Ovis aries: one gene and its partners. The protein of the gene in region 7 interacts with the protein of the main gene of each other region in a pairwise test. Links are inferred from orthologs where the notes say so. Each region holds a gene or a part of one and is shown on either strand. Other genes may lie near its edges.

Region 1 (4,283 bases), on a different chromosome or scaffold from region 7:
AAAACTTAAGTAGTCAGCTGAAGGCTGAGGGAAATCCAGAATCAGGTTCTTCTCCTCGTGGAGCTTTAAGCCTGAGGAGATATCATTCAGGTCCAAGAGGTCAAACTGGAGATCCCACATGGGCTCCTCGGGAAGGTCTGAGAAGACATGGATGGCGGTGAGGGAGAGGCCCTTAGAGTCCGCAAACACCACCCGCTTCTTGGCTTGGTTGTGTGAAGGCTTCCAGCCGTCCTGAGCTCTGGCTTCCTGTTTTATGTTGAGACACGGCTTTAGGGGCTTTAATTTGTTCACAAAATTTCTTCGTTGGAAGTCATCATAAGGGCTCAGGAAGCTCTTCAGAGGTGGGGAATGAGCCAAGCAGAGCCTCACAGCGACATCCACGGGCATGACTGAACTTGTCAGAGGCCGTGGATCTAAGACCTGGATCATTCTAGAATACAGAAAGAAGAGGGGTTATCATCTGCACCTAGAATGCACTTCCCCTGGTCCCAAGTAGGTCTGTACTATTTTTGTTGGCTATTACAGCCAGCACAGCGCTCTCACATGAAGTAAAGGAATGCAGGATTAGGTGATAAAAGCTGCATCTTACGTTTGGCTCTGCCCTTGACAGGCTATAGGCCACGGGTTAAAACACTTGGTGTCCCAGTTTCTCCATCTGAGAAATAAAAGATTTGGATGGGATCAACTCTAATACAGCTCTAAAACCATTTGCTCTGTTCTGGAGCACCAGTTCTCAAACCTGTCTGTTTTCAGGCAGGTTCCTTACTGTTTGAGCCACCACGGAAGCCCCCACCATGGCCTAGTGGGTTGGATTTCTTTTTTTTCAATGCAGAATCCTTGGACTTAGAGCCTCTAATGCAGAACCCCTGGGGATGGAGACAAGAATGTATATATGTTCTTAAAGCTTCCCAGGTAAGCCAATGACCAGACAGGTTCTAGAATCAAAGTTCCAAACTGCACTCCCTCAACTGCTTTGATGATTTTGCTATTGAATTAATTATACTTCTCTGGAACCATAATCCATTTAAAAAGAAAGAATAAAAACAGCAAAGGGTTTTGAGAGCCAAAGACTAGAAAGAGTAAATTAGAGGATTCTCTCTGCACTTTCATTACCATGCTCTTCCCCATTTTACACAAATAACCTACTGAAGTGCAAGGCAGCCATTTATGAATTTAAAAATCTTTACATAATCTGTATTTCACCCAAAAAGACATCCATGCCAACTCCACATTTAAGTGGGAAAATCTGATGATCTGAAAATTATTGTCATTATTTAGTCACTCAGTCATGTCAGACTCTTTTGTGACCCCATGGACTATAGCCCACCAGGCTCCTCTGTCCATGGGATTTTCCAGGCAAGAATACTGGAGTGGTTTGTCATTTCCTTCTCCAGGGAATCTTCACAACCCTGGGATTGAACCCGTGTCTCCTGCATTGCAGGCAGATTCTTTACCGCTGAGTCACTGGGAAAGCCAAACCTGAAAATAGGATAGTTTCAATAAATGTGTTTTATATATATATATATATACACACACACAACACATATATGAACTTATAAATGTTGAAAAGTCTAATAGGAAGCACAACAAAAAGTTAACAATTATCTCCGGGTGATAGGTGATCTATTTTTGCCTTTGTACTTTTTTGGTATTTTCAAATGTTCTGGCAATGGATATTTATAACTAGAAAGATAATAAAGCTATTTAAAATTTAGACATAACTATGCCCAGAAATATTAAACCATGAAGTGTCCATCAAGAAAGGTATTTTTTCTGGCCTTTAGCCCTGAGTATACATTGCCAAACTTATGGACATTTTTCCCCTACCCTAGCCTTCAGATAAGAAGTGTGTGTATACTGTATGTGACATTTCTCGTTCCGGCTTTAGTAACTGTCTTCCCAGCAGCTCTAAGCACATAGCCAAATGGTCATTATCATAAGATGGGTAATAAAAGAATATTCTGAGAATTCACTTTATTAGCCCTAGGATTTTTCTGGGAGACCTACAAACTTAGAACAAACAAATGAGAGAGAAAGCTATATTTATTGGTCTAATAATAGTTAACAGGCGGAAATTTTAGAGACGTCTTCTGCTAAGTTATGTCTAAAGAAGCTATTTAAGTAGTTTTGTGGGTGGTTTTTTTGTTTGGGGGTTTGCCCTGTATTTTCACATTTTGCACTTATCTAAAGACAGTTTCAGGATACGGCGATTTCCCTGGAATGTTAAGTCTGGCCGAAGAGTTTAAAAATAATCATTTGCTCAAACTCCCGAGACTGGCTTTGCTATGGCAAACCGTCAGAAGAAGGAAAGAGGACCAAGGAAAGTGAACATCGTCCATCGTTAAGTTTTTCCCAAAGCTAAACTACACAGCCAGCAATCTGAGTGCTCTTCCCACGAGTCCTTGAGACCTCTGTGCAGGACCAAGAGATACGGTTAGAATCCACGAGGGAATCAGAACTAAAGCTGACTCACGTTTCTGGTTTAAGATGCCGTTTACCGAAATCAGCTCTGCCTAAGATGCTCAGAGCAAATCTTCACACCTCCAAGGCCTCCCCAGCGCCAGATTCTTCAGCAGCCTGTCAACCCGCCCTCCCCTGGGGTCTCCGGGGCGGGGATGACAGCAGGAAAACGCATCCCAGCCTCCCGACAGCTGCGCGCTCCCTGAGCTCCGGGTCGGAGAATCTGCAGGGAACCTACCTGGTGCAGCTCATCAGGCAGAGGAGCGGCGGCACTCCGCGGTTTGCGAGAGTTCGCACGCGTCTCCCGGGAGTCCCCGAGTGGCCGCAGCTCCGGCAGATCGCGGGTGCGGCCCCCGGGAGGCCGCTTAACTGCGGGGGACCACGTGAGCCGACTGCCACGGCCAATCGCTGGGCCGCGGGCTCGACGGCGCGACCAACCAGCGCTCAGCTGGGGCGCGAGCCCTTGCCGGGACGTGACTGCCGTGGTGCAGGGCTCGCCGGGCGCTGGGGGCGCTCTGGGACCCCGGGCCAGCTGGCCGGGGTAGAGTAACGCGAACCCCGGGCGAGGAGGCGTGGAGGCAACCGCGTAGCACAAGTAGCCGGCGCAGGCCAGGAGGGAAAGCAGCAAACCTCCTCCCGCGCGGAGCGCCAACACAGCGGGGCTGCAGGGAGGGAGGTGTCTCACTCGCGAGGCTTCTGTATACAGTTATCTGAGGGCAGGACACTGTGGCTCGTTCCGGGGACGCGTGGAGGGGTGGCGGTGGGGGAAGGGGATGTGTGTGTGTGCTTATATTTATAGTTTTGAAATGTTTATCTTGTTCATTGCTTGGTGCATTGGCTTATCTTCTCCCTTTCCTTGCCCTGAGCAATCAGAAGTTGACTGCATATTTTGGGGTTAGGGTGAACCCGGAAATGCACCACACAGTACATTCTTCTCTAACCAATATTGTTAATAAACCGTGTTAGTCCGTATTAAATGCTTCAGCCCTGTCCGACTCTTTAAGATCCCATGGACTGTGGCCCGCCAGGTTCCTCTGTCCTTGGGATTTCCCAGGGAAGAATACTGGAGTGGGTTGCCATGCCCTTCTCCAGGGGATCTTCCTGATCCAGAGATTGATCCGGGTCTCCTGCTTTGCAGGCAGATTCTTTACCATCTGAGCCACCGGCAGTCTGTGTTAGCCCTATTATAAGACAATGAGGCAGCATTTCATTAAAAGGTACTTTGTATTTCAATCTAGTCTTCAGCTTTTCTCCCTGGAAGAGAAAACTAAAGCCAGAAATGAAAAGGCCTCTTTTGCTCATGTGGTGGGTCAGCCCGCAGAGCCAGTGGTCAACCCAAATCCCTCATCTGGGTTCTGACGTCCTCTGGCAGCGATGTGAAAACCAAAATGTTAAACTATCACACTGTAAGTTTCATGACTCTCCCAGGCCGGTTATTCTCATCGAGGTTTTGTAATTTTGTTTAGTTTGGGGAGTTTTTAGACCATCATCAGTTACAACCATAAAATTAAATTTCTAAGTCGAGTAGGAATTGTTTGTATAAAGTCCATGTCCTTGCTCTGCTCTCAATTTAGTTATCCAGCAGTCCATAAAAATGTACAGAATATACAATGTAAAATGTACAAAAATCCCTATGTCTTTAAAATCACCGTTCAGCAGCAGCAGAAGTGTTAAAATGGTGTGGTTAAAGAAAAAGTGAGTTATCACTGGGGCAGTTATTTATCACTTGGGCTTGATTTTTTAAAGAAAACATCCAACTAAAAGCAGATCTTCTAGTTTCTCAGAACAACCAAAACTAGCTGAAGGGGCACTGTTTGGGTTTG
Region 2 (4,186 bases), on a different chromosome or scaffold from region 7:
TGATTCGCTACTTGGTACCATCATCCCTTTGGGTTCTAACGGAGAGGCAGGAAAACAGTTATCCTGAGACTGGAGGAGTAACTGTCTGTAAATGACATCACTTAATACCACAAAACTCTACTGCTACAATAGGACCTTCTCAATCTCTAGAATTGAATCATGTACACACAAAGTTTAATTTTTCTGTTCCTTAAAAAAAGTGAAAAGTTGAAACTTGAAGGGAAACAGCCCAGAGCTGCCAACCCAAAAGAAAACAGCACTCTCAAGCTAACATCTATACACTGGCACCTTCAATTCAGACAGGAACAACACTCTACATGAGGGAAAAGGAGATGATCATTTCTCAACCGAAGTGTAAGAGCTTGGAGTCTTTCCTAAAAAAATAAGCCCTATTATGGCTCCAGGAAACTCATGCTTTCCCACATCAAAACAGAAAGCACAAATTATCAGGAATGATAAAAGAAACAAACCTTTTTTCTCCGGATATGTGTGTGTCTTTCTCGAGAAAGAAACACACCCTGTACCAAGTCTGGACATTTACTTTCCCGGCTCCCTAACAGCTGCCCCTTACAGGAAAGTAAGGTGTGACACTCAGAAATGGGCTCAGATGGCCTCTCTGAGTCAAGACAGCTTTTCCAATTTTTCCCTGTTTGAAAAGGAGCCTTAAAATTTAGAAGGTTGTAGGGGTCGTCAGAATTACAAAAAGAATTCCACAGTTTGAGACTCTCTGCTTCATCTGCACTAGATTCCCAGTCATCATCATCTCCAGAATTATGATCAGGAGACTCGGGAAGACTTCCAGTGTGGGGAGAATTCCCTAGGTCAGACTTGTCAGACAAATCCTTTTCTGAATCAGAAGGGTTTCCCGGAAGAATTCTGGCAGCAGTCTGAATTGTTGCTGTAAAGTTTTGGGGATTATAAGGATCCACACTATAGAAAGAGTTCCAAAGGTGGAGCCCTTCTGAGTCTTGCTCAAGGTCTGATTCTGAGAATGAGCTATCACTATCAAAACCGTCATCCTCAACGTCTTCGTCCCAATCCTCATCTTCCGAATCAGAACTTGTTTCCAGGTCACTGGCTGCACCTCCCAAAATGTAATCTATCAACTTGTTACTACAGGCTGGTCTGGCAGAAATGGGAAGGTCATCGTCTATGTCTGGAGGGTCAACTACACTTATTTGGTCCTCTCCAAGCTCCTGTCCAGTCTCACAAGACGGAATGCCTCCCGAGGGGCTCTGTCTTTCCAATCCAAAAGGAACTTCTCTAATCAACAATTCTGTTTTCTCCTCAGTGGGTTCCTGGGCGGTTCCGGGAACGGCTCCAGCAGCAGGAACACACTGAGTCGGACTATCTCCGAAGTGCTTCGGCTCCATCCGGAGCAGGCTGTGCTCCTCCTCTAGGCTGTGGTAGCCATGATCTTGGTCAGGGGTGGGTAAAGCCTGACCCTTGCTGGCCTGCTGAAGGAATTCCAGCCGCTTCATGCGGAGATGGTGGATTTCGGGCAGGCCTTCTCTAGAAAGAGGCGGACATCCCTGCCACGAGGCGGGAGCCATCTCTGCGTTGAGCGGCTGGGGATAAGACGAGGCCTCATCCAGGCAGCCGCTCTCTGGACTCAGCGCCTGGAAATCGACCAGTTCGCAGCTTCCAACACTGCTCTGATAGCTCAGCTCAACCCGGGGCAGGCAGTCCAGATAGGAGGGGTTCAGCAAATAGGAGACGACACTGACATTGCTTAAGCGCTGAACGTTGAGCGGTCCAGAGGGCGAAGGGCCAAGCTCCGGGTCAGAAAAGAGACGCGCTTGGACGCTCCGGGGCACCAGCTCCACTCCCCACAGCGGCTGCTCCAGAAGAAAAGCATGGGCTGCGGAGTCCAAAGCTCTTCCCTTGGTTTTAAGTTCTAATTCCAGATCTGGGGGCGAGCACTGCCAGTGGAGGCCCCCCTCTAGCCAGTCAAGGGGACCGGCGGCCGCGTCGGCCGAGGGGTCGAGCCGCAGCGAACTCAGAGCTTTGGGCGCCGAGGGGGCGGCAGGCTCCTCCCGGGCCCTCAGGAGGCTGTAGCCTCCAGCAAAGTCTAGCCATCTGGTAGGGATCATCCCACTGAAAAGCTGGCTCCAGACCAGCAGCTTCTGAAGCAAGCCCGGGAGCGGCGCGAGGAGCTGGGAAAGCAGCTGCATCCAGGAGCTGCTTCGGGCCTCGGGCGGGGGGCTGGGAGCCAGCCTGGGGTCGGGTTCCGGGGCGAGCGGTGCGCGGATCCTGGACGTGCCTGATCGCGAGGGCCGAGGGAAGAAGGAGGGCAGCCGGAAGCGGGGGTCCGGCTTCCGCGAGCCGTCCGCCGCCGGCTCCATCTCCCGGTGTCGGCAGTCTCTCAGGGAGGGAGGGACGCGGAGCTCGAGGCCCTACACAGTCTCGGCCTTCCCCAGCGGCGGAGTGGGTGCCCCAGGCCGACCCCCGGGCCAGCAGAAGAGCCAACAAGGAGAGCGGCTCCGGCCGCGGGCAGCGGGCCACAGTCCGGAACGGCGGGCACAAGACGCGGCGGCCAAGGCGACATCCATCCTGACAGCGAGAAGGGGCCCTACTCCGGCCCGCGCCGCTCCACCATAGATAGGAGCCCTTCCGCGGCGGCGGCGGCGGCGGCTTCCTCGAAGGCACGGACCGTGGAGATGCCCCTCAGCAGCGCGACCCCGGAAGGGCTGGTCTGGGAGGGCAAGCGGGTGCAAGCGAAGCTCAAAATGGCCGCAGGGCCAGCGCCGCGGCAACACCGCTCCAGGCAGGCTGACTAGACGCAGGATGGCGGCCGGCTACGCCACCAGCCCCGCGCCGCCTGACGTCACTCGCCGGGCCGGGGGCGGGCCCTTCCGCGCTCTTTCCTGCGGCCGCCGATTGGCCGCGCCCAGGTCCCTGTCGGCTTCCTTACTCTCGGTAGACCCGGTTGCGCGCGGGAGGTTGCATCAGCCAGGCTTCGCGCGTGCGCACTTGCAGCTCAGCGGTCGCCTAGGAAACCGCCCCTCTGCCGCGGCCGGCCCTCTTCGCCCCTCCGCGGCGGCCCGCGCTCCCCCGCGCCCCACCTCGGCCCTCTAGGTCCAAGGGAGCTGCGTAGACGGGCCGAGGGGGCTCTGGAACTGTTAAAGGCGTGGTACGTACCCAGGTGTACAGGTATGTCTTAGACTTGCATGTATTTATGCAACACCGTGGTTCCAGTGTTATTCACTGCTAAGTAGTGTTAGGACCTAACCTGAGCCATGACAGGCTCAGCAAGCTACACGAGGCCTAAAAGTTTCGGATTCTTATAGACCTGAGTCATGATTCCGGGAACTATACCTCTGAGCCAATCGGGAGAGTCCCCATGCATGCCAGGCTTGAGCCAATCCGGATAGGGATGCAGGATTCAAAATTCACACGCGTTAGCCAATCATCACACGCTGGCTACGCTTGCTGAGACAAAGAACTGCCTTTATAAAAGCAGTTGTTACTCAGAACTGGGGGCTCTTGTTGGATTCCACTGTGCTGGATGAGACCTTAGCCCTAGCTCGAGCTAGCAATAAAATCCCTTTATGTTTTTGCATTGCTGTGGACGTCTTATTCTCTCAATTTTGGGGACTCGGGCTCCGGGCATAACATTTGGGGGCTCATCCGGGATCCCTTTTAACTGAGAAGAATAACACCCTCCCAGTAGAAGGGGTTTCCTCATTTAGAAGAAAGGTATCTGGACACCGGTGTCAGGTCTGGTCCGGGGCGACCTAGTTGCTCTAGCCAGCATAAGGCCAAGGCCCAGCAGACACGCTGGAAGGCAGCTGGCTCTGCAGGGAAGAGAGCTTCTCTCTTGATCCCGAATCTGGTGGGCAGCGGACGCCCTTCGGTAAGGTAACCTCGAGGGATAGGAAGGTTTGGGGGGGGTGGGCAGGAAGACCTAGTACTGTGTTCTCGGCCGAAGTTTTTCTCTCCTCGGTTCGTCGCATCTTTGTGTGTGCCGGCATTGTCACTGTTCTCTGTGTGTTCGTCTTGTCTCCTGTGTTCTATTCTGTAATCATGGGGCAAGAGACTTCCACTCCGTTGTCCCTTATGACTGACCATTTTTCTGATTTTAAGTTTAGAGCACGGAATCTATCAGTGCTGGTGAAGAACAAATTAGTAACTTTTTGTTCCTCCGAGTGGCCTGCTTTTAATGTTGGTTGGCCACAGGAGGGGA
Region 3 (4,126 bases), on a different chromosome or scaffold from region 7:
TTCCACATCATACTTCATTTATTTATCTATGCATATAGAATTTTTAAATATTCCTATATCATAGCTTATTTAAATGTTTAATAATTATATAGAGCTATACATTAGTGAACAAGGCTGAGTGCCGAAGAATTGATGCTTTTGAACTGTGGTGTTGGAGAAGACTCTTGAGAGCCCCATGGACTGCAAGGAGATCCAACCAGTCCATTCTGAAGGAGATCAGCCCTGGGATTTCTTTGCAAGGAATGATGCTAAAGCTGAGGCTCCAGTACTTTGGCCACCTCATGCGAAGAGTTGACTCATTGGAAAAGACTCTGATGCTGGGAGGGATTTGGGGCAGGAGGAGAAGGGGACGACAGAGGATGAGATGGCTGGATGGCATCACCGACTCGATGGACGTGAGTCTTAGTGAACTCCGGGAGTTGGTGATGGACAGGGAGGCCTGGCGTGCTGCGATTCACGGGGTCGCAAGGAGTCGGACACGACTGAGCGACTGAACTGAACTGATACATTAGTTATGTTAGTAGTTATTTACAGTACTGATGAGCATTTACATTTTCTATTTTTCAACAAGTACCAAGAATGCTGCCATGTAAGTGCCTCCTTACACACATGTTTTTTTTAAGATACATATTAAGAAATAGGATTATTGAGTTATTAGTATGTGTCTTCTTCGCTATTCATAAACTACCCTAAAAATGATATGCCTAATACATTTTCATTTTAAGAATTCATTCAACAAATAGTTAAGACCTTTTTTAGGCTGAGCATACAGCATAATGGTAACCAATTCAGACAAAGGCACCACTTTGGTGATTAAGAATTCAGGCTCTAGAAAGAGGGAGGGCTCAAATGTATATTTATGGCTGATTCACACTGTTGTACAGCAGAAGCCAATACAACATTGTAAAACAATTATCCTCCAATTAAAATAAATTTTAAAAAAAAAAGAGTACAGGCTCTAGATATAGGTTGCCTGAATTCAAATTTGGGCTTAGTAAGTACTGAATGTCTGACCTTGGACAAGTTTCTCTATCCTTGTGCCTCAAGTACCTTAACAATAAAACAATAATAATAATAGTACCCACCTCACTAGGATTATTGTAAAGACTGTTGTGCCTGCCACAGAGAAAGTATTCAATAAAGTTGTCTTGTAATTATTACTTAAATTTGCTCTAACCAACTTTCTTGCCAATGAGAGAGGTGAAAATATCATTTTACTATTTAATCACCATTTCTCTGATTATCGATAAGACTGACATACATTTTATCTTTTTTACTTTCTATTCTGTGATCTGTTCAGATCTCTTATCCGTTTCTTCTATCAGGATGTTTTGCACTCTTCTTAATGTGACACTAGATGAGATGCAAATATTTCATAGCATGATGCCTAAGCTCTGACCCACAACTGTGGGGTTCTATTTGTGGCCAAGTTACAAGAATAGCAGTGCTGACTACTGTCCTGCTAAGAGAATTTCATGTTCTGCTCTCTAAAAAGATTTCTGAGTGCTTAGATTCAGGGGAAGAAGGTAAGGAATACTCTTCAGGCAATGGAAAGTAAAAGCTAAAGGCAAAGGGATGGTTTCTATCTTATCTACTCTTGTTTCCTTAACATGTGGTACAGGGCCTGACACATAATGGACTCTGGATAAACACATATTGTTTGAATGAATGCAAAATCTCCTTACTAGGTTACAAGCTCCTTGTGGGCAAGGATGGCATCATACCTATGTTGGTATCACTCCCACAATACCTAACAGTGTTTTTACACAGAGGAAGTACTCAATTGTTTTTACTGAAGAGACTGCTATCTCTGAACCTGTGTGATAGCAGCTGAGGTAATCAATGAAAAACAAACAATCCCTTCCTCATATAAAGATTAGACTCTGATTTGCAGCTGTAGAAGCTCTGTATGGAGCTGTTGTTTAGGACTCTGGTGTTGTTTAGGTCACTTCTTGAATTCACCATCTGTTTCAAGTCTTTGTTCTAGGAAAAAAAAAATGTCCCTGGCAGTTACTATGCTGTGAGCCCACGTAGGTGCTGCTGAGACCACGTCCGTGCAATGTGTCTCAAGCTTTAGTTTCCCTCCAAATTATTCCTTCTCAATGCGTTATTTAGAAATAAGTCCAGACCAGCGCACTAGACACAGTCGTTTGGGTCTCCTGATTCCTCGTCCCACATGCCCTGCCTGACAGAGCTCTCTGCTTTGCTAAATGCTGTGAGGCTGATTATTTTCCGGAATATCACTCTTGGTGATCTAGGCTTGTAGTCTCATGTGAAACAGTGAGACAATGGCATAATGGAAGAAGTGCAGGATCCCTGGAGCCAGACGATCTGGGTCTGCATATTAACTCAGCCATTTACTACATCACCTAAATATCCCTAAGTCTCAGTTTCCTTAAGTTTTCAAATGGGAATAACAGCAATACTATATCTAACCCACCTGGGTCACAAGACTGCAATAAGAGTTATAAAATTAGATTAAAATGCAGAAATATTTTATAAAGTATTCTACAATTCTATGTCACTACTATATGAAATAGGACTCAAAGACTACACTAAAAGAATCCCACCAGACAATTCATAAGAGCAAGGATCATTCATGTCTGACTGGGTCATAGCTGCATCTCCACAGCCTGGCATATTTGTTGAAGGAAAGACTAAGAGAATAGAAAATGAAAAGAGCACCTACCAGTGACCTTCATCAAGTTAATAAAGCTCTGGGTTTCAATTTGCTCATTTGATACCACTTATGTCAAAAGATGTAACATCAAGGATACTTTTCTATTTCCTTCTTCCTCCAAAGCCAGATATACTTTAGGACCTGGTTGTATAAAAAGTAGATACTCTTAGTAGTTTAATAATAATGGGTACTGACTCAAATTATTCTAGAGATAGTCAGGAACATTACACTATCATCTGCCCTCTATTCTCACTAAAAATTAATACTGGCTAATCAGACAGAGAAAGATAAATATCACATGAAATCACATATATGGAATCAAAAAATGATACAAGTTAATTTATTTATAAAACAGAAATAGACTCACAGACATAGAAAACAAACTTATGGTTACCAAAAGGGTAAGGAGCAGGAAGGATAAATTAGAAGCTTGAGATTAACAGATATACACTGCAATATATAAAACAGATAAAAAGAACCTACTATATACAACAGAGAAATAAATTTACTATCTTATAATAACCCATAATGGAGAGAATCTGAAAAACAAATATATATATATATACACATACACACACATTTTGAAACTGCATCACTATGCCGTATACCTAGAACTAACCTTAACACTATAAATCAGCTATACTTAAATAAAAAGTTTAGGAAAAAAAAATCAGTACTGGCAAAGTCATTATTAAATACTTTATCTCTGCCATGTTTAAACTGCTTCAGTTCACTCAGACTCACATATACATAAACCCTTAAAATGAACCACTGCCGTAGTAAAGTTAAGTCTTCTCAGACACAAGTGCATCTTTATGTAACCTAGACAAAATAACCTCTGGTGCTCAGCCATGTCCGATTCTGTGACCCTATGGACTGTAGTCCACCAGGCTCCTCCGCCCATGGAATCTTCCAGGCAAGAATACTGGAGTGGGTTGCCATTTCCTTCTCCAAGGGATCTTCCCAACCCAGGGATCAAACCCGTCTCTTGTGTCCCCTACACTGGCAGGCGTAATTTTTACCACTGCACCACCTGGGAAACCAAGACAAAATAACTTACTACTAGTCAAAACCATTTAAGCATCAAAGCCACATCAAAACAAATTCCATTTATTGGTCACAGTACATAAAATGGGAATAATGTTTACTGAGTTACCAAAAGTGTCCACATACATAGCATCCAATTCACATTATGCAGCAGAATTAAAGCTAGGGCACCTCACAACAGAGCGCCAAAATACATGAAGCATAAACTGACAGAACTGAAGTAAGAAACAGACAATTCAATAATAAGAGTTGTATGTTTCACTACCCCACTTTCAATTGTGGAGTAGGGAGAAGATTAGTAAAGAAAAAGAAAACATGAACGCTGTATGCCAATTAGACCTAAAGACCTCTACAAACACTCCATCCAACAACAGCAGGATATACATTCTTCCCAAGTGC
Region 4 (4,016 bases), on a different chromosome or scaffold from region 7:
GGGGAGAGGCGCGGCCTGACCGGGCAGATGGAGCGGCAGGAGACGGTGACGCAGGGAGTGAGGCAGTGCCAAGGCCGACCCCGAGGCAGGAAGGCCAAAGGAAGCAGACGGGCAAGGTGCCACGTCTAATCAGACAACGCCAGCAGCACAGCGGGCGAGGGGGCTCCATGACGCCAGCATGCCACCGCCCCCACGGCCCCAACCTCGGAGGCGAAGGGCAGAGGCAGCCTCAGGACGGGCAGAGGAGGAGAGTGCATCTCTCCACAGCACCTGCTGATCACAGCCCTGCGGGGCTGGCCTTGGAATCCGCCCCGGGGTAACACCCTGCTGCCGAGATGACCAGGAAGAATCTGAGGAACGCCTTCTTGTGCCCAGAGGGTGTCAGGCCTCCCCAGAGAGGGCAGCCTTTTCCTCACTCCCCAGCAGCTCAGCCCAGGCTCAGACCAGCCTGTCAACCCTCACTCAAAGCCAAGTCCTGCTAAGCGTGAAGCCGGTATGCTCTCTGGGGAGCTGAGCAGGACTCCCACCCCATCCAAATCAAAGGGCTTCCTGCCCCTTCCCACTTCCACCCTGGCCCCTGCTAGGCCACTCCTCAAACCTAGGGCCCACCTGGGACAGGACTGCCCAGCCAACTCCAGAGAGCGCCACGAGAGTCAACAAGAAGACACGGCCCTGGCTGGACCCACAGTCCCCACCAGCCTCTCAATGTACAGAGCCCCTGGGTCCCCAGCATCCCACTGGAACCCGTGCCAGGGACTCCCCCAGCCCAGACTCTCCTGGAGCGTGCACAGCCACCGGCCCCCTCTGGTCCACGTAGACGCCATCCCGCACCCAGCCCAGGTGTCCTAAGAACAGGCCACATGCTACACCCACAGATCTGTGACCTGCCACCTCTCCCCCTCCCTGCTGGGGACCCTGCTCCCCGCCACTCACCTTCTTTCTTGAGGAGCCAGCCTTGGTGAGACAGGACTTCTGCAGGGCCAGATAGCCACCGATCACCTCGATCTCGTGCACGGTGGGGTAGCGCTTCTTCGGCGAGGTCCCCACGGCAGCAGGGGGCTCTGAAACTCTGCCTGGCTCCTCTTCCTCGGCCTCCCTTGGCCTGGCCACGCCATTGGCCTGCACAGCCCCTGGCTTCCTCTTAGGCACCACTGTGAAGGTGTTGCCACCCCGACGCTGGAGCTCTGACAAGTGCCCAGGCCTGGTCGGATGTGGGTGGTACTGGGGAGGCGCGCCAGCCCCGGAGCAGGGCAGTTTGGCTTCTTGGGGAACCTCGTCCTCCGAGTCCACCTCATCAATGAAAGTGATGGGCAGCCCTGGCCGCCCAGGCTCCCTGCCACTGTTGGCCAAGCCAGGAGTCTGGAAGCCCTGGGCAGGCTCAGCTTCAGTGGCGGCCTGTGGAGACGGCGGTGGTGAGGGCGGCCTCTGCCACCTGATGGCAGGGTCCACAAGGGCAGTGGCGGGTGCGGGGCTGCCCCCCTCCTCGATCCTGGAGGGGCTCCTCCCCGCTGAAAACACATCATCCACTCCAGGCACCTGCTGGGCTTCAGGCTCTGGGTGCTGGGAGGCCCAGCCAACTTCTTCCTCTGGAGGCGCCATGGACCGCCTCCCTTCCCCAGGAGGAGCCCCAGAGGTCTTGCGCTTGGGGATGACTACGAAAGAGTTTCGAGAGTTCACTCGAAGGCTGGCCAGAGCCCGGGCCTGGAAATCCCCAGCAGGGATCCTGCCCATGTCTGGCTTGGGGGCTGGCCGGATCTCGAAGGAGTCATTGGCGCTGGCGGCCGCGGAGACCCGCTGGCGCTGGCTGGGAGTGGCACTGGAAGGGCTGAGCGTGGGCAGGGCCGGAGCCGCGGCTGGAGTGGCACTGGGGGTCCCCTGGCTGGGGGACTGGTGGGCGGGGGCCTCCCCCGACTCCACCTTTGGCTTCCACTCGCCTGGCCCAGGCGCGGAGCCCTCAAAGCCCTTGGCAGAGCCGGCCCGGGACTCCGGGGCCGCGGGCCCGTTGGGGAGTGGGCGAGCGCCCGCGCTATGGCGCAGGCCCCGCGGGTGGACAGTGAACGAGTTGCTGCTGGTCTTGTGCAGGAAGTCGCTGCGCCGGGGCCTGGGGCCAAGGCCTGAGCCGCAGCGCTCCGGGTCGGACTGGAAGCAGGCGGCGCGCTCGCCCACGCGCGGAACGGCCGGGCCCGGAGAGGGCGGTGGCGTGGGGCGGACGCGCTCCGGGCTCCCGCGGCGGCGCGGCGCGGCCGGCGGGTCGAACTTCTGGAGCAGGCGGCTGACGCGGCCGGGCGGCGGCGATGCCTCGTACACAAGCACCTCCGCGGCTCGGATGTGGGCGGTCCCGCCAGGACCGAGGCCCGGGCTGGGCGCGGGCGCGGACGGAAAGCCGGGCGCCGACTCGATGATGAGGATGTTGTCGGCTCGGATGGTGCGCACTCCGGGCACGCAGCAGTACAGCTCCAGCAGCTGCTCCGCGGGCCGCGCTCCGGGCCCCGCCACGCCCGCGCCCCCGCCGCGCCGCGCCCCGTGCCGCCGCTCCGACTCGAGCCGCATGAACGGGTTTTCGCGCAGCGGGCCCAGGCTCTCGGCCAGCACCAGCGGCTCGGTAGCCGGCCCCGCGGTCTCCGTCGCGCCCGCCCCAGCGACCAGCGCCGCGCCCCCGCCCAAAGCCGCCAGCTTAGCCCGCTTTCGCTCGAGGATCTCTCGCTTCCAGGCAGGCATCGCGGCGCGGGGCGCTGGGCCCGGCCGCCCCAAGCCGGCCATGCTGCAGAGTGGCCGCCGGAGCCAGCGCGCGCCGGGGACTGCGGCCGCCGCCCGCCGCCGGCCTTCGCGCAGCGGCCCCACCCCCGGGCCGCCGCCCATTGGGGGAGAGGCCCGTTCAGGCCCGCCCCAGCCCCGCGGCCCCACCTATGGCAGGGAGGGTGGCCGACCACGCTGATTGGAGCGCGTTCTCCCCGACCCCGCCCTCCCGCCGACCTCAGTGGACAGCGCCCAGCACCGGAGTGGGTCCCTATTGGGGAGGCCCCCTGGGACACGCCCACGACGCCTCACGCCCCTCAAGGGAGGCCCACACTTCCGCCTTTGCTCCCTAGGCCGGCCGCGCTCGGAAGGCGGAGCCAGGAGGGGGCGGGTTCTGCCCCTCAGGCAGGCCGGACCCCCGGACCCGCGTCGCGGGTGACCCTGGCTGCGCTTGGTCTGTCCGCCTGTTATCCCGCGGAAAGCGGGGTGGAAGAAGGGCCAACCCAGGACTGGAAGGCTGTCTCGCTCCCGTGAGCGGTGCGCCGGTTGTACGCCAGCCTCCTTCTTCCTGGCCCAGGTGCCTATGGGTCCAAGGACTGCCCACCTGCGGTCCTGGCCTCCTGCGGGACTTAGTGGAGACAGCAACGGCTGGAGCCCCACCCAGTGCTGAGTAACCGGTTTCTCAGGAATCTCTGATTTTTGCTGGCCCCTAGAATCCACTATTGTTGCCCAGACAAGTAGTGGAAACTATCCACCCTTGGTCGTCCACAGCCCACCAAACACGGATGGGAGTGTGGAAGCCCATAACGCACACAAGCAGGCCCACAGCAGTCCATAGCACACAGGGCAATAATAGCCGGGGCACATTCCATTCACCTGATAAACCGCCCAGTCCCAACACTGACTTTGAGGGCACACCTGCTCCGTGTACTTGCTATGAGGAAGTTCACTGCCCCGGGAGGGCTGCACAAAGTTCACTACATTCTTTCAGGCCTGCTGGAGCCAAGGAGAGAAGGACAAATTGGGGGCAAGGGCAAGGACAACTGTCACCTGCCTTTCCAGCACCTGCCTACAGTCAGCAGATGTTCACAAATGACACTCCTGCCTCCCACTACACTCACTTTTCAGAGACAAGGCTCCAAGAGCACCTGGGCCTCTGCAAAGACCGGCGCAGGTTTCAGCCCCAGGGCCTTTCTCCACTTCTGTGTCCCGTGGCAGTCTGCAGCCATCACTGCAATAACTGTACTTGTAACAGCCCAGTCTATCCAGCTGGAGAAAAG
Region 5 (4,160 bases), on a different chromosome or scaffold from region 7:
CTTCCATCAAGCAAAAACCTAGGTGATTCTAAAGCATGTAATTACTTGTGTCTGTGGCCAAATTTATGGCCTATTAGTGAAAACACAAGACATCGTTAAATTTCATTAAAATAAAATATGTGCCCCCAGTTTGGACAATGAGTTGCTCAAAAACATTCTAAAGTGATTTTAAATACATGAAAGAGTACACACCTTTGTGGCTCAGCTGGTAAAGAATATGCCTGCAATGCGGGAGACTTGGGTTCGATCCCTGGATTGGGAAGATCCCCTGGAGAAGGTAAAGACTAACTCTAGTATTCTGGCCTGGAGAATTCCAGGGACAGTACACCATGGGGTCCCAAAGAATCAGACATGACTGAGCGACTTACACTTCACTTCAAAATTTTCAGGCCCATTCACTGTAACTGCTATCCAAATTGCAAATTTTAAAATCTAGTCACTAAAATCAATTATGGAAAATCGTCCGAGAAGGGGGTGTGTATGTGAAGGCAAGATTATCCGATTTTTCAATAACATTCCCTCAGTGTGTCTAAGTTTAGATATTTGCAGATTTTCCACATCTGCAAATACGGTACACAGAAGTGAAACAAATGGTTTTGTCATGTTTTCTTATTCAGTAACTAAACGCAGAAAAAAATCCTGTATCACACGCAGCATATCAAGTCATGCTCAGAAGCAAAGTGAAAATAATGGATCACAACTGAAAATTACAGTGCTCTCTTTAATCAAAGTATTTGTTCACTTCTCACTGCCCATAGCACAGCACTAACAATGTCTCTGAACAGTGTTGCTGAAGTAGAGCCTTTATACGAAATCAGGAGTAATACTGTTTGCTGCGTACATTTTGTAAATGGAAATCCACCCAAGTAAGCCTGTAGATCCGATTTTGTACTCAACAAGTGACTTTTAAAACCTAAAACTGGTAAACTGCTTTCCCAAGGAACTTCAAACTAAAATTTTCTCCAGGGAAAGATGACACCTGCGAATATGTCTTATCAGCCCTGCAAAGGGACACTTGGAAAGGTACGGCGAAGGCAAGAGTCGATCAAAAAGGCTGCGGGAAAACTGCGCAACAGCCTGGGGCTGAGGACCGAGACTTCTCCACCCGCCTTTCACTCCGCCTTTCCCAGCGACTCTGTGCTGGGGGCCCGGCCGGGCGCCTCTTGCGAGCAGGCAACAGTTGCCAGGAGCAGCTGGACTGAGGACCGGCAATTTGCCCAGCCACTTGTCCCTTCTCCGTCTTCCCTCCCTCCCTCCCCGAAGGCCGAGGACAGCGACGCCTCCTCGCTCTTCTCCTCCTCTTTGGTGCCTTCAGCCAGGAGGCGGGAGTGACCCGCGCGGCAGCTGACCCAGCACAGGCACTGCCTCTCCCACAGCCCTCGGAGCACACCATGGGCCCAGGGGCCGGTTTGCAGCACAGCAGCGACGACGCAGGCGGCAGCCCCGGCGACGCTCAACTGCCTCCCTGACCGCCGACACCACCGCCCTACACCCCGAAAAACGATCGCCACCAACGGCAGGAGACTCTTAAGGGCACCGCAAAACACCGTCGCGAGCGACTCAAGCTACGTCAACAACTATGGCAGGCGAGGGGCGGCGGGCGGAGCCGGAGAGGGAAGGATGGGCGCTGTACGTCACGCCCAGGGCTCCGCTACGGGAGGGAAGGCCCCGGCTCGCCCCTCAAAATGGCGGCAGCAGTGACGTGCCTGCGTACGGAACTCCTACGCCGTCGCGCCACGGCCGGCGGGAAGTGAGGTTCTCAGAAGAGCCGCCCGAAGTGTACGGCGACTTCGAGCCCCGGGCGGCCAAAGAAAAGGCCCGGGTGGGAAGACAGATTCCGCTAGAAGGGTTCCGGCCCGATTCGGCGAAAGAGGAAGTGAGAGAAAGCGCCTATTACCTTCGGTCTCGGCAGCGAAGGCAACCCCGACTCCACGAAGCCGAGGAGATGCAGACTCGGAGAGCTACTCGCCTCCAGGAGCAGCTGCACTCGCCGCCGCCTCCGATACGACCCTCTCCGGTTACGACCAGAAGAGGATTACGGGACTCCCATTCATCCGAAGGTGAGACAGTCGGAGGTAACAGTGTCAGCCGCGAGTCAGGGAGGGAGTGCCGTGGGCGGGTACGCGCGAAGGGTGTGCGCGTCCTGGGCGGGCGTGTGCCTGCCTTGAGCTCGTCCCCTCTGAGCTTCTCCGGTTTGGACGTGAGCCCCCACCCCCGGGCCGCCCCGTCGGCTGGCGGGAAAGTGGCAGGGCGGGGGCGCCGGAAGGAAAGGCGGTCGTGCGTAGTGACCTGAGCACAGTCGAGGAGCCGCGTGCTTCCTTGGGCATCAATTTAGAGGTGTCAGGATTGCCCGTTTTCTGCAGGCCTGCACTTCGGGGCGGCGAGTTAGGCAGAAGGCAGGACACTGAATCACTCAGAGTTCAGTTTCACATCGGTTTCATATCGGTTCTCTCTACCCTGGGATGTTTCTGCCAAAGCCACTTCCATTTCCTCCTTTAACTCCGAGGCCAGAAATCCTTCAGTGAGATTTGGTCCTCATCTAACCTTCCAGTCTTTCCCCGTCACTATCCAGGAGGGGAGAAAGGAAGGGGAATTTCGTGAGTGGCCGTTTGAGGACTAGCATAGTTGATGAATTGATTTGAGATCCCACCCACATGGTTTACACTGAAACGGGGTCAAGGCAGTCATCCTGAACCTGAAGCTTCCCAGTGTGTGATAAACTTGAACTGATCACTCTTTCTCTAGTGTGGTGGTCTCTGCCAGAAATTCGGATGTTGGGGACCGTCAGTGTAACCTCAGTAGTTAAGCAGTAGCGTGACAAAGCAAGACTTTCATTAGTTTTCATCTAAATGGGCCACAGGGTTACTGACAAAGTGATTGTGTAGTTTTAGGAAAGTCACAGATGAATGAATCATCGCCGGTAATGCATCCTGTCCCACGCTGCCCCTATCCCATCTAACACTGAGTCACAGATGGAGTTTCATGTTGGCTCCAGGTAGCGCACCTGTGAGGTAAAACCAAGGGGTTTGAATCATAATGGGATTACATAGTTGGTAATAGACCATTGGTGGATATGATGAAGAGGAGGTGGATTTTCTCAGTTTAGAGCTGAGAAATAGACTGCACATTGCCTGCTGATGCCTGAAGTGCTGACACAGTAGAAGTGTTGATGATTTTGGAAATTATGTTAAAGATATGTGAGTTACTGTTGGGAGTAATACCAAGACCGTGTAACCCCTATACATGTTTTATCTCTTTTAAGATTATAAACTTCTGAAGACAAAGATCCTACATATATACACAGATCCTACATATATATTTGAGGGACCATGTTATACTTCAGTGTTTATGTTCTTTCTGTATCTCCAGTAGCTAGAAGAATGCTTTGGAAGGCAAAGGAAATATGCTAAGTTGTATGACTTCCACGCAGGCCTATGCAATTGTAAAAGCTAGTTTGTTTGTTTTTTGTTTAACACACAAAGGATTTACTTCTATTTTTAGTAAATCTATGAGAATCTACACGTTTTTCATTCTTCCTCTTTAGCCCGTCTTTTAAATTTTCTAGAGTAATATTTCTATATTTATTTTGTAAAGCATCATTGCTGAGTAGTTTATTTTTATGTTGTCCTAAAGAGTAGTAAGAACTACTACTAGTTCAATTCCCAAGTTTTGGTAAACCTAATTTTTTGTTGTTTAGCGTCCCCTAAGTCGTGTCTGACTCTCTTTGCCACCCTATGGACTGTAACCCACTAGGCTCTTCTGTCCATGGGATTTCCCAGGCAAGAATACTGGAATGGGTTGCTATTTCCTTCTCTAGAGGAATCTTCCCTACCCAGGGGTCAAACCCAAGTGTTCTGCATTGGCAGGCGAATTCTTTACCACTGAGTCACCAGGGAACCCCTTAATTACACATTTCTGAAGAGATTGAAACTGAGTGGGCCCCTGTGAGTCTTGCCATTGTTTGGAGGCAGTACGATAGCCATTATGACCTTCTCTGAGTTCCAAAGAGCAGGTTCCAACAGTCGCTAATCAAAGTAAGAACAACCAAGAACTCACCTGATGCAAGATTAAAAGGCCCAGATTAATCATCAGGATTAGGAGACTGACCACCTGAGATGAGAGTAAGGGAGTGCAAACCCTGCTCACACCCTTATCTTGTC
Region 6 (3,500 bases), on a different chromosome or scaffold from region 7:
ATTCTCCTAACGAAAAAAAAATTCTCGTAATATAATGACAACTGGATTTTCCTGGGGACAAGTTCCAGGTTTTAGCATGTTTACAGAAATGTAGCCTCCAGATAACCAGTAAATAAAGATGTCTCCTAATACTACTACTCCAATTTTTTTTCCCTTAGTACTAGCTACTGGATACATGAAAAATTACTACAAATTAAGCATAATGTGTGTATGTGTGCTAAGTCACTTCAGTCGTGTCTGTTGAGCCCCTGTGGACTGTAGCCTGCTGGCTCCTCTGTCCATGGGATTCTAAAGGCGAGAATACTGAAGTGGGCTGCTATGCCCTCCTCCAGGGGATCTTCCCAACGCAGCCATTGAACCTACGTCTCTTAGGCCTCCTGCCCTGGCAGCTGGGTTCTTTACCACTAGCACCACCTGTAAGCATAATAGTAAATAAATTCACCTTTATGTTTGTTTCCAAAAAACAACTGTTGAGAGGGCACCCAGCTATAAAAAACTTACTTCTGGTTTGGGATTGAACATCATGTTCTATATGTCTTTCAAATCACATTTGAGAAGCTATTCTATTATTAGAAAAGTACTTATCTGCAAAACTGTGAGACTTTATTTACGTAGGATCTAGGAATCAAATAGTGAAAAGAGTAAATATGCTCATGTCTAGATCTCTAACTATAAACTCTCTGCCTTTTTAATTCTAACATGCAGAATGGATTGGCAAAACGTAAGATGGAAGAAATGTTTGCAGAGGGCTTTTGCAGTACTCCAGTTACAGATGATGTTTAAAAACAAAAATGTACCAATGTATTGCTTACACATGAAAAACTCAACAGATACACTAGAGAGGAATTACCAAATTTTAATTGAGTTTAGACTGTACCATCTCGATTCAGAAATCTGAGAAATTCACAGCTCAAAAAGGAATTTTATAGATATATGGAGATGAACACCATCATTACACAGATGTGGAAACTAAAATACAGAATGGTTAAGATTCACCAAGTGACCAACAACCAGAAGTAATGAGATTTGAACTTAGGTTTTACAATTCATAATTCAGTTTTCTTACACTCTTAAACTCATTTTATTGAAGGTATATAAAATAATTTAAAAAATAATCTGTATAAAAAGTGTCCCTAAGTTTTGTAAATCATATATTTCAAATGCATTAGGAATACTAATTCTACACATATCTGCTCACGGGATAATAAGTACTAAATAACTTGAAATTATATAATCACTCTTAGGGTAACTGGAATAAGATCATGGAAGAAATAAAAGGAGCCATCAGTCTTGAAGCTATGACTGATTGTTACACATATGCAACTAGGTCTCAGTTCTTAAAAGCATCGCAAGGTCACATCAGAAAGGAACAAATAACTTTTGACTTATGTTTACAGAGTGAATCAATTTACATACAAATAGCGCTGTGTATATCATCGGTTTACACTTAGGTCTTTTAAGAAAATGCTTTCAAATCTCTCATCAGAATTTTTTTTGCTTTACGTCTACTAAGAAAAAGCAAAGAAAAAGGGATCCATTAATTGGAAAGCCAAATGATGAGTTACAGTAAAAAGTTGTCAAATTGCCCTACTGAATAAACAAGGATTTGTAGAAACTGAAAAGTTTCATATTTTACTCCAAATAAACAAATACAAATAAAAAAACAGGATATGGATAGACTGACCATATTTCTCAATCAGCCAAAGAAGTAGAAGAGGGCAGATGAGACAGTCCATTTTGTTCTCCAGAGCCTCACACAGGCCATAGGTGTAGGTAAAGTGCTGCTACACTAAGGTGGCCCAGACTAAGGTGTCCAGAACTCTCTAGACCCACATGGTTCTGATCAAAAAATGACCAGAGGCTGCCTTTTCGCAAGGGTGCCTTATGATTCAGGCAAAAAAAGTCCATAGCTCCAAATTTTAACTGCTAAATTATATGCCAGATGAAAAATACTCTGTAACCAAAGTAACATAAAGCTAGATGTCTTACTCAACATTGTTATATGATGTATATTAATATACATTAATGAAGTGAGATGTAAAGATCCAAAAAAGCTGTGTAAGACTGGACTAGCCCATAAACTCACTGGTTAGAAATCAAAGCCAAAGTGACAATGGAAGGAAATTTTTAATGCTGAAATTGGTAGAAAAGGGTCTAACAGATATAGGAAAAGGCTATATATATATATATATATACATATATACATACATTAAAAGCATCTAGGGAGAAGACATCTACAAAAAATGCCACCTTCAACACATTTATTATAGAATACTGGGAATAGCCATAAAGTGGTTAAATACTTCATGGCACACCCATACAATGAACACTATAGACACATGTCACATACATGGCATACCACACAGCTGTGGTTTGTATGTGCTATCACAGAACTAGCTCTGGAACATATTAAGAGAAGAAAAGCAAGAAGCAGGACAATACACACAGTATGGGATGGGAACACTGTTTATTCTTAGTTAAAAATAATAATTAAAAAAAAATACCTTGTGGTATCTTCTTTACAGTGCCTCTTTTGCCTCTTGAACTTCTGCTTCCAGGTATCTTGTGGTCCTTTCTCAAGAGGGCCTGCCCGTCTTTGGGGCTTTCACAAGAAATGCTTTCTGAGCTCTCACTTGCAGCCACCTCACAGCTTGGTGTGCAGCTTTCATTATTGTTCAGACTGTCCTGCTCCCACACTTCAGGTTTGCCCATTGCACTGTCACTGCTGGTCAGAAGCTCAAGCCCATCCCCATCAAGTTGATTTTCATTTTCATCTGATGCAGAAGGCAAGCATGTTACTATACTTTCCACGCCGTCACCAGGATGACATCCATCTTGCGGTTCTATCTGCAGATTATATGCAGGAGTTTCGCTGTCATCCATTAGAGCATCTTTTGTTGAACCATTTAAGTTTCATTAAAGTCCTTGAATGTCTACAATGACAAAAAGAAAAATCTAGTTCATTTTTTGAACTCTGGATTTTCAGTGACCTTTCATTTTCCTCTTCTCCTGGATTGTTTTACTGTAAACATAGAAGAGACAGAAATGACGAAGGCTCACTCCTATTTCTACCTTTCTCACAACCCTACCTCACCTTACCCGGTTCCTGCTTTAACACAATGGCTCTAAATCCTGGGTGCATGTTTATTACCTGTGGAGCTTGTCAAATTTCTACTGTAGACCTATGAAATCAAAATTTCTGAGGACTAAGCCTAAATACTGATGTATTTTTTGAAGTTCTCAAGATATTCTAATGGTGCAACATGCTGGAACCACCTCCTTGATGAAAGACATTATTATTTAAATAAGGTTGTCTGCTAAAACCAATCATTCATCTTATCCCTGGACACTTAATAGACAAGTGTAAGTGTAAGTCCTTATATGGCCAAGCAGCAGCAATATATACAAATGAAAACATTTAAGGATAGTTTTAAAATAAATTTTTAAAAAAGTATATGGGGGAAAATTCAGGTAGCATATATTCTCATTACATAGTTTAC
Region 7 (4,288 bases):
TTTAGAGTAGCAAATAACTGCAAAGCTGTAGTGACTAAAACCTAAAGCAAGACGTTTCATTAGATAAGACTTCACTTTTGAATGGTCTTTTTAGTACTATCACTGAGCTACTTCTCAACTAGCTTGTATAGTCCTCCACCTTAGACAATTCTGAAAATGTAAAAAATTCTAAAAAGGTCATAAAACTCACATTCCCTCCATCTTCAGATATACTTAAATCTTAATGAAAATTTTTAGAGGAAAAACTTTGTGAGGCATTAAAAAAAAAAAAATCACAAAACTTATCAACATCTTCTACCCTGGAAAGATATACATATATATCTTCAATAGATCATTTTCAATAGTTTCTCTGCCAATCTAACATTGACGAGAAAAAAAAAAAAAAAACAAACGTTAAGAATGTTGAGCAGCTAGTTTATTCCCGAGGACTGAAAATGCACTGCTGTACTAATTTCAATGAAAAAAAATGAAATGTTAAAAAAACCTGGTTTTCCAGCACAACATAACATGTATAGAAACTATTAAGAAATAATGACTGATCTCACTGTAAATGATCCAGGTTAATCAACGCAAATTCCTTAGCACAATTTAAAAAATAAGATTAAAATTAACAAGATGTTATATGAATATAAAAGTTATGGGCAACCCCACAATTAAGACCTAACTAATCTTAAAATTCTGTTTCTAATCCACAGCTTCCATTTTTTCCAGCTTTCTCAAAGAAATAAAGCCACACATGTCCCTGCATAGACATGCAGAATTTACAATTTTTGAATGAAAAAAATTTAAGTTCTTTTCCTACAGCAAATTGTTTTAATCCGTTTCTGACCCACTGCTGTCTCACATAAACCAAAGAACTATATCAACTAATATTAAAAGTGTGATTCCTCTAATAAACGGCAGATACTGAATGAACAAGGTTTTCACCCACAAATGGCAGTGACATTTCAGGGGCTCATTTAACGAGTTTTTGTTTTGAGACACTATAAAAGGAAAAAAACCTTAACAGAGATTAAGAAAAGATGAAGTTTCATTCTCATGACTTAAAAGATCTGTAAATTCTAACATCAGAGCTGTCCAACTGTTTAGGCTCGACTCCATCTCTGAGCATTTACAGTCCAACAATATTTTAGAATATAAAGGCAAAAATGCAGTTAAAACTCAGCCAAATCTACATTATCCAACACTCAAGAAAAGGATCTGAATTCTTTCAAAGTTAGGAATTAGACGTTATTATTAATAGATGTGCTCTAGAATTCAGGGGTGGTGGGTGATTTTATTTCAGTGTCTCTCCTTAAAATCCGAACTTCATCCCTCTCCCATCCCACATCAATAGAAATCAATCGCAAGACACCTCAGGAGTTTTAGGTCAGTCAAAACTGAAGATTTATTTTAACCTTTGCTCAACCACTGGACACCTTCCTTCACACATAGGGTGACTTGAATGACGTTGAATTCCTGGCTGCCTGGGTTTGAAACTTGACTGTCACTAACTGGTTAAGTGACTACACTTCTCTGGGTCTTAGTCAGGAAAAAAAGGCATCTACCTGGTGTATTACATGAAATCTGTGTAAGGAGCTCCAAAAAATGCCTTACACACAGTAAGCGCTTTAGAAGCATGGCTAATATGATTTTTGCGACACACGCAAAGTACTGGAGACAACTCATTAGAAAAGACCCTGATGCTGGGAAAGACTGAAAGCAGGAGAAGCGGACGAGATGGTTGGGTTGGATGGTATCACCGACTCAACGGACATGAGTTTAAGCAAGCTCCGGGAGATGGTGAAGGACAGGGAAACCTGGCACGCTGAAGTCCATAGGATCGAAAAGTCGGATGCGACTAAAAGACAGCAAAATGCAGTCAGTGAACGCAAAGCGCTTAACAGAGCTTGGCACATTGGAAAGATCCTAACGAAACTGTCATCACTGCCGGTTTCACGATTCAGAGGCAGGTTCAGAAAAGAGCGCGGAGACTTCCCCGGGATAAAGACAACTTAAAAAGAATATCTGGGAGGGTAGAAGAAGACAGGTTCCAACATCTCTCTGAGAATGAACGTTCGTTACCGAGTAACAAGTAACTGGGCCCCCGACCCCAAGCCTCACAAAAAAATAAAAATAAGCAGGCTAGGAAAGAAGCCCTCAAGCTTGGTGAAATCCATATCCGCATCTTATTGCTTTCCAAAAGATTGAGAACCACGAAGTTCGGAAAGAGCAGTCCAGTAGGTTGGACTGGGGCCCCCAATATTCTCCAAAGATTGGTCCGGAGTGCCGGGCGCACGGGGGTACGTACCGGAAACGTGGGGGTGGGGAGCGGAGTTTTCAAATTTCACGGCCAGGAGAAAGGCTGCACCCTCAAGCAATGAATGAGCGGAGCCAGGAGGGTCCGCAGGTTGGGCCAAGCGCGGAACGCCGGGCAACCTCCCTCCCGCGGCAGTCCCCGGCCCGCGGGCGAACTCGCGGGGCTCACTCGTCTCGGCGCAGCAAGCCCAACAGGCCTCCCAAATCCCCCTCCCCCGCGAGTCTCCGGAGCCGCCCGCCGCCCCCTTCACCTTCCAGCAGCCGTTGGATGATGCTGTCGATGTTGAGTTTATCTATATCCGCCATCGCCTTCCCACCGCCGACCTTCCCGCAGCGGCGCCGCCGCCGGCTCGCGCCCGGGATTCACACCTCCTTTCCCACGCCACGGGCACAGAGATGGTGGTGGTGGCGGCGGTGGCAGAAGCCGCGGTGGGTTCCCCCCAACCGCCCCGCTCCCTGCTTCCTCCTTCTCTCCCCACTGGAACCACGAGAAGAACAAAATGGCCGCCGACTCCTTAGCCAGCCTCGGGCGGCGCACGAATGCGCGCGGGGGAGTGCAGCGGTCCGGCCGGGACTTCTTTGTGGGCCATAGGGCACCCGGGAGGGGGCGGGGCCAGGGAGATTGAAGGAGGCGGGGCCAGAACGCGGGAATGGGAAGGAGACGGTTGAGCGTAAATGCGCTCGCGCGCGGAATCCTTCCGCCAAACGGGCCGAGCAAATAGGCCCCCTGGCGGGAGCGTGAGTTGCAAAGTTGAACGCGGGAGTTGGGGATGGGGGAGAAGATGCATCTGTGCACTCGAGGGTTGCGGGCTCCGCAGGACACTGTTCACTGCGGCCAAGTGTTTGCAGACCTGGCCATGTGAAAAGCCCACGGAGGGAATTTGGGTGTCCTGGAATTTCCCCTTAAGATAAATCTGTGGTAGAGGTGAACAGTGAAATAGGTTGACTCTTTTTGGCTTCAAATTTGCTAGAATTTAGGGGGGAGGGAAAGATACATTTGATGGTTAATTTAAAAAGTCCTCTCCCAGATAAATAAAAATGTTAGGTTATTCTTTCTGAGTGGTGGAAATATGGGTATTTGTATGCACATTTTTGTGCACTCTGTAACTTACATTTGGGGAAAAAAATTCTTTTTAATCTACCCTCAAAAAAATTTCATCATCTCTCTCTGGATTATCTTTCTTGAACTCGCGAAGTTATATAATCATCGGAACGGTTTACCCTGATTCCGGCCAGAGCGAAGATGAGCGAGCGTGTGCAGCAGATAAAGGAGAATTTGCAGGTTTGCGGTCGGGTCCCCACTTCTGCAGATACCCCTGAAAACTTTGGTCAATTTCCATCGGCTTCTCAGTCTCCACATATAATCTCTCTCCAGGAGATCCCTCCAAAATGTGCCACCTCCGGGGGCTGCGTGTCGTCTTAGCTGGGTTTGAAAGTGCAGTTACACTCAGCAAACGCATCTGCTCTTTTGGATCCTGACCTTTTCATTTAACTGCTTTTTTCCTGCAGCGCTTTACAGTTTGCAAAGCCGTTTCCCTCCCGCCAGAGAAATTAATTTTGTCTCTCAAGGCACACAAAATGCACGAATTCCCAGCCCGAAATATCGAGATCATTGTGCCACCCGGGCATCCAGTCTCAAAACCGGTGTTCCCCCCGGGGCCCAAAAGTGGTGGGGCCCAGGCTCCTTCCACATGGACCCGAGGCCTCCCTGCGGCTGGCTTGGAGGCGTTAAGGTTCAGAGATCCCACCTGCTTGGCGCAGTTGCTCACTCAGCTTTCCCCAGTCACCAACTTACCCTCCCGTGCTGTAACTCTGTTCGCAAGAAGACAAACAAGTGTCATTTGTCAGCCCAGGGCACAGAGCCCAGTTGGCGACGTTCGAAGTTGATGCACAGCACCGTTGTGAACAGCTGGCTGTCAAAGTCATGGTAGCTCTCCCCAGAGTCCATGAGACTCTGGGCTCCTCCAAGGCACATCATCGGAATGGCAAT

The links.
Region 1: the proteins of PPP1CC (region 7) and PPP1R3C interact in binary tests that used the Homo sapiens proteins (3 or more experiments, as listed by UniProt). The link is inferred for Ovis aries from reciprocal best matches to the Homo sapiens genes PPP1CC and PPP1R3C.
Region 2: the proteins of PPP1CC (region 7) and PPP1R15B interact in binary tests that used the Homo sapiens proteins (3 or more experiments, as listed by UniProt). The link is inferred for Ovis aries from reciprocal best matches to the Homo sapiens genes PPP1CC and PPP1R15B.
Region 3: the proteins of PPP1CC (region 7) and ZFYVE9 interact in binary tests that used the Homo sapiens proteins (3 or more experiments, as listed by UniProt). The link is inferred for Ovis aries from reciprocal best matches to the Homo sapiens genes PPP1CC and ZFYVE9.
Region 4: the proteins of PPP1CC (region 7) and TPRN interact in binary tests that used the Homo sapiens proteins (3 or more experiments, as listed by UniProt). The link is inferred for Ovis aries from reciprocal best matches to the Homo sapiens genes PPP1CC and TPRN.
Region 5: the proteins of PPP1CC (region 7) and TOR1AIP1 interact in binary tests that used the Homo sapiens proteins (3 or more experiments, as listed by UniProt). The link is inferred for Ovis aries from reciprocal best matches to the Homo sapiens genes PPP1CC and TOR1AIP1.
Region 6: the proteins of PPP1CC (region 7) and CNST interact in a two-hybrid assay, tested with the Homo sapiens proteins (2 studies listed by BioGRID and IntAct). The link is inferred for Ovis aries from reciprocal best matches to the Homo sapiens genes PPP1CC and CNST.

The regions. Positions count from the first base shown.
Region 1 is NC_056075.1:13,013,262-13,017,544, forward strand, and holds the start of PPP1R3C (protein phosphatase 1 regulatory subunit 3C), read right to left. Parts: upstream 2,801-4,283; 5' UTR 2,713-2,800; coding exon 2,699-2,712; intron 431-2,698; coding exon 1-430.
Region 2 is NC_056065.1:2,002,225-2,006,410, forward strand, and holds the start of PPP1R15B (protein phosphatase 1 regulatory subunit 15B), read right to left. Parts: upstream 2,801-4,186; 5' UTR 2,346-2,800; coding exon 471-2,345; intron 1-470. UniProt on the Homo sapiens protein: Maintains low levels of EIF2S1 phosphorylation in unstressed cells by promoting its dephosphorylation by PP1.
Region 3 is NC_056054.1:26,595,239-26,599,364, reverse strand, and holds the start of ZFYVE9 (zinc finger FYVE domain-containing protein 9), read right to left. Parts: upstream 2,801-4,126; 5' UTR 2,690-2,800; intron 1-2,689. UniProt on the Homo sapiens protein: Early endosomal protein that functions to recruit SMAD2/SMAD3 to intracellular membranes and to the TGF-beta receptor.
Region 4 is NC_056056.1:737,608-741,623, reverse strand, and holds the start of TPRN (taperin), read right to left. Parts: upstream 2,801-4,016; 5' UTR 2,761-2,800; coding exon 934-2,760; intron 1-933. UniProt on the Homo sapiens protein: Essential for hearing. Required for maintenance of stereocilia on both inner and outer hair cells. Necessary for the integrity of the stereociliary rootlet.
Region 5 is NC_056065.1:60,482,826-60,486,985, forward strand, and holds the start of TOR1AIP1 (torsin-1A-interacting protein 1), read left to right. Parts: upstream 1-1,360; 5' UTR 1,361-1,579; coding exon 1,580-2,060; exon of another isoform or gene 2,061-2,108; intron 2,109-4,160. UniProt on the Homo sapiens protein: Required for nuclear membrane integrity. Induces TOR1A and TOR1B ATPase activity and is required for their location on the nuclear membrane. Binds to A- and B-type lamins. Possible role in membrane attachment and assembly of the nuclear lamina.
Region 6 is NC_056065.1:30,032,825-30,036,324, forward strand, and holds part of CNST (consortin), read right to left. Parts: intron 2,934-3,500; 5' UTR 2,884-2,933; coding exon 2,505-2,883; exon of another isoform or gene 1-2,504. UniProt on the Homo sapiens protein: Required for targeting of connexins to the plasma membrane.
Region 7 is NC_056070.1:54,611,194-54,615,481, forward strand, and holds the start of PPP1CC (serine/threonine-protein phosphatase PP1-gamma catalytic subunit), read right to left. Parts: upstream 2,801-4,288; 5' UTR 2,605-2,800; coding exon 2,550-2,604; intron 1-2,549. UniProt on the Homo sapiens protein: Protein phosphatase that associates with over 200 regulatory proteins to form highly specific holoenzymes which dephosphorylate hundreds of biological targets.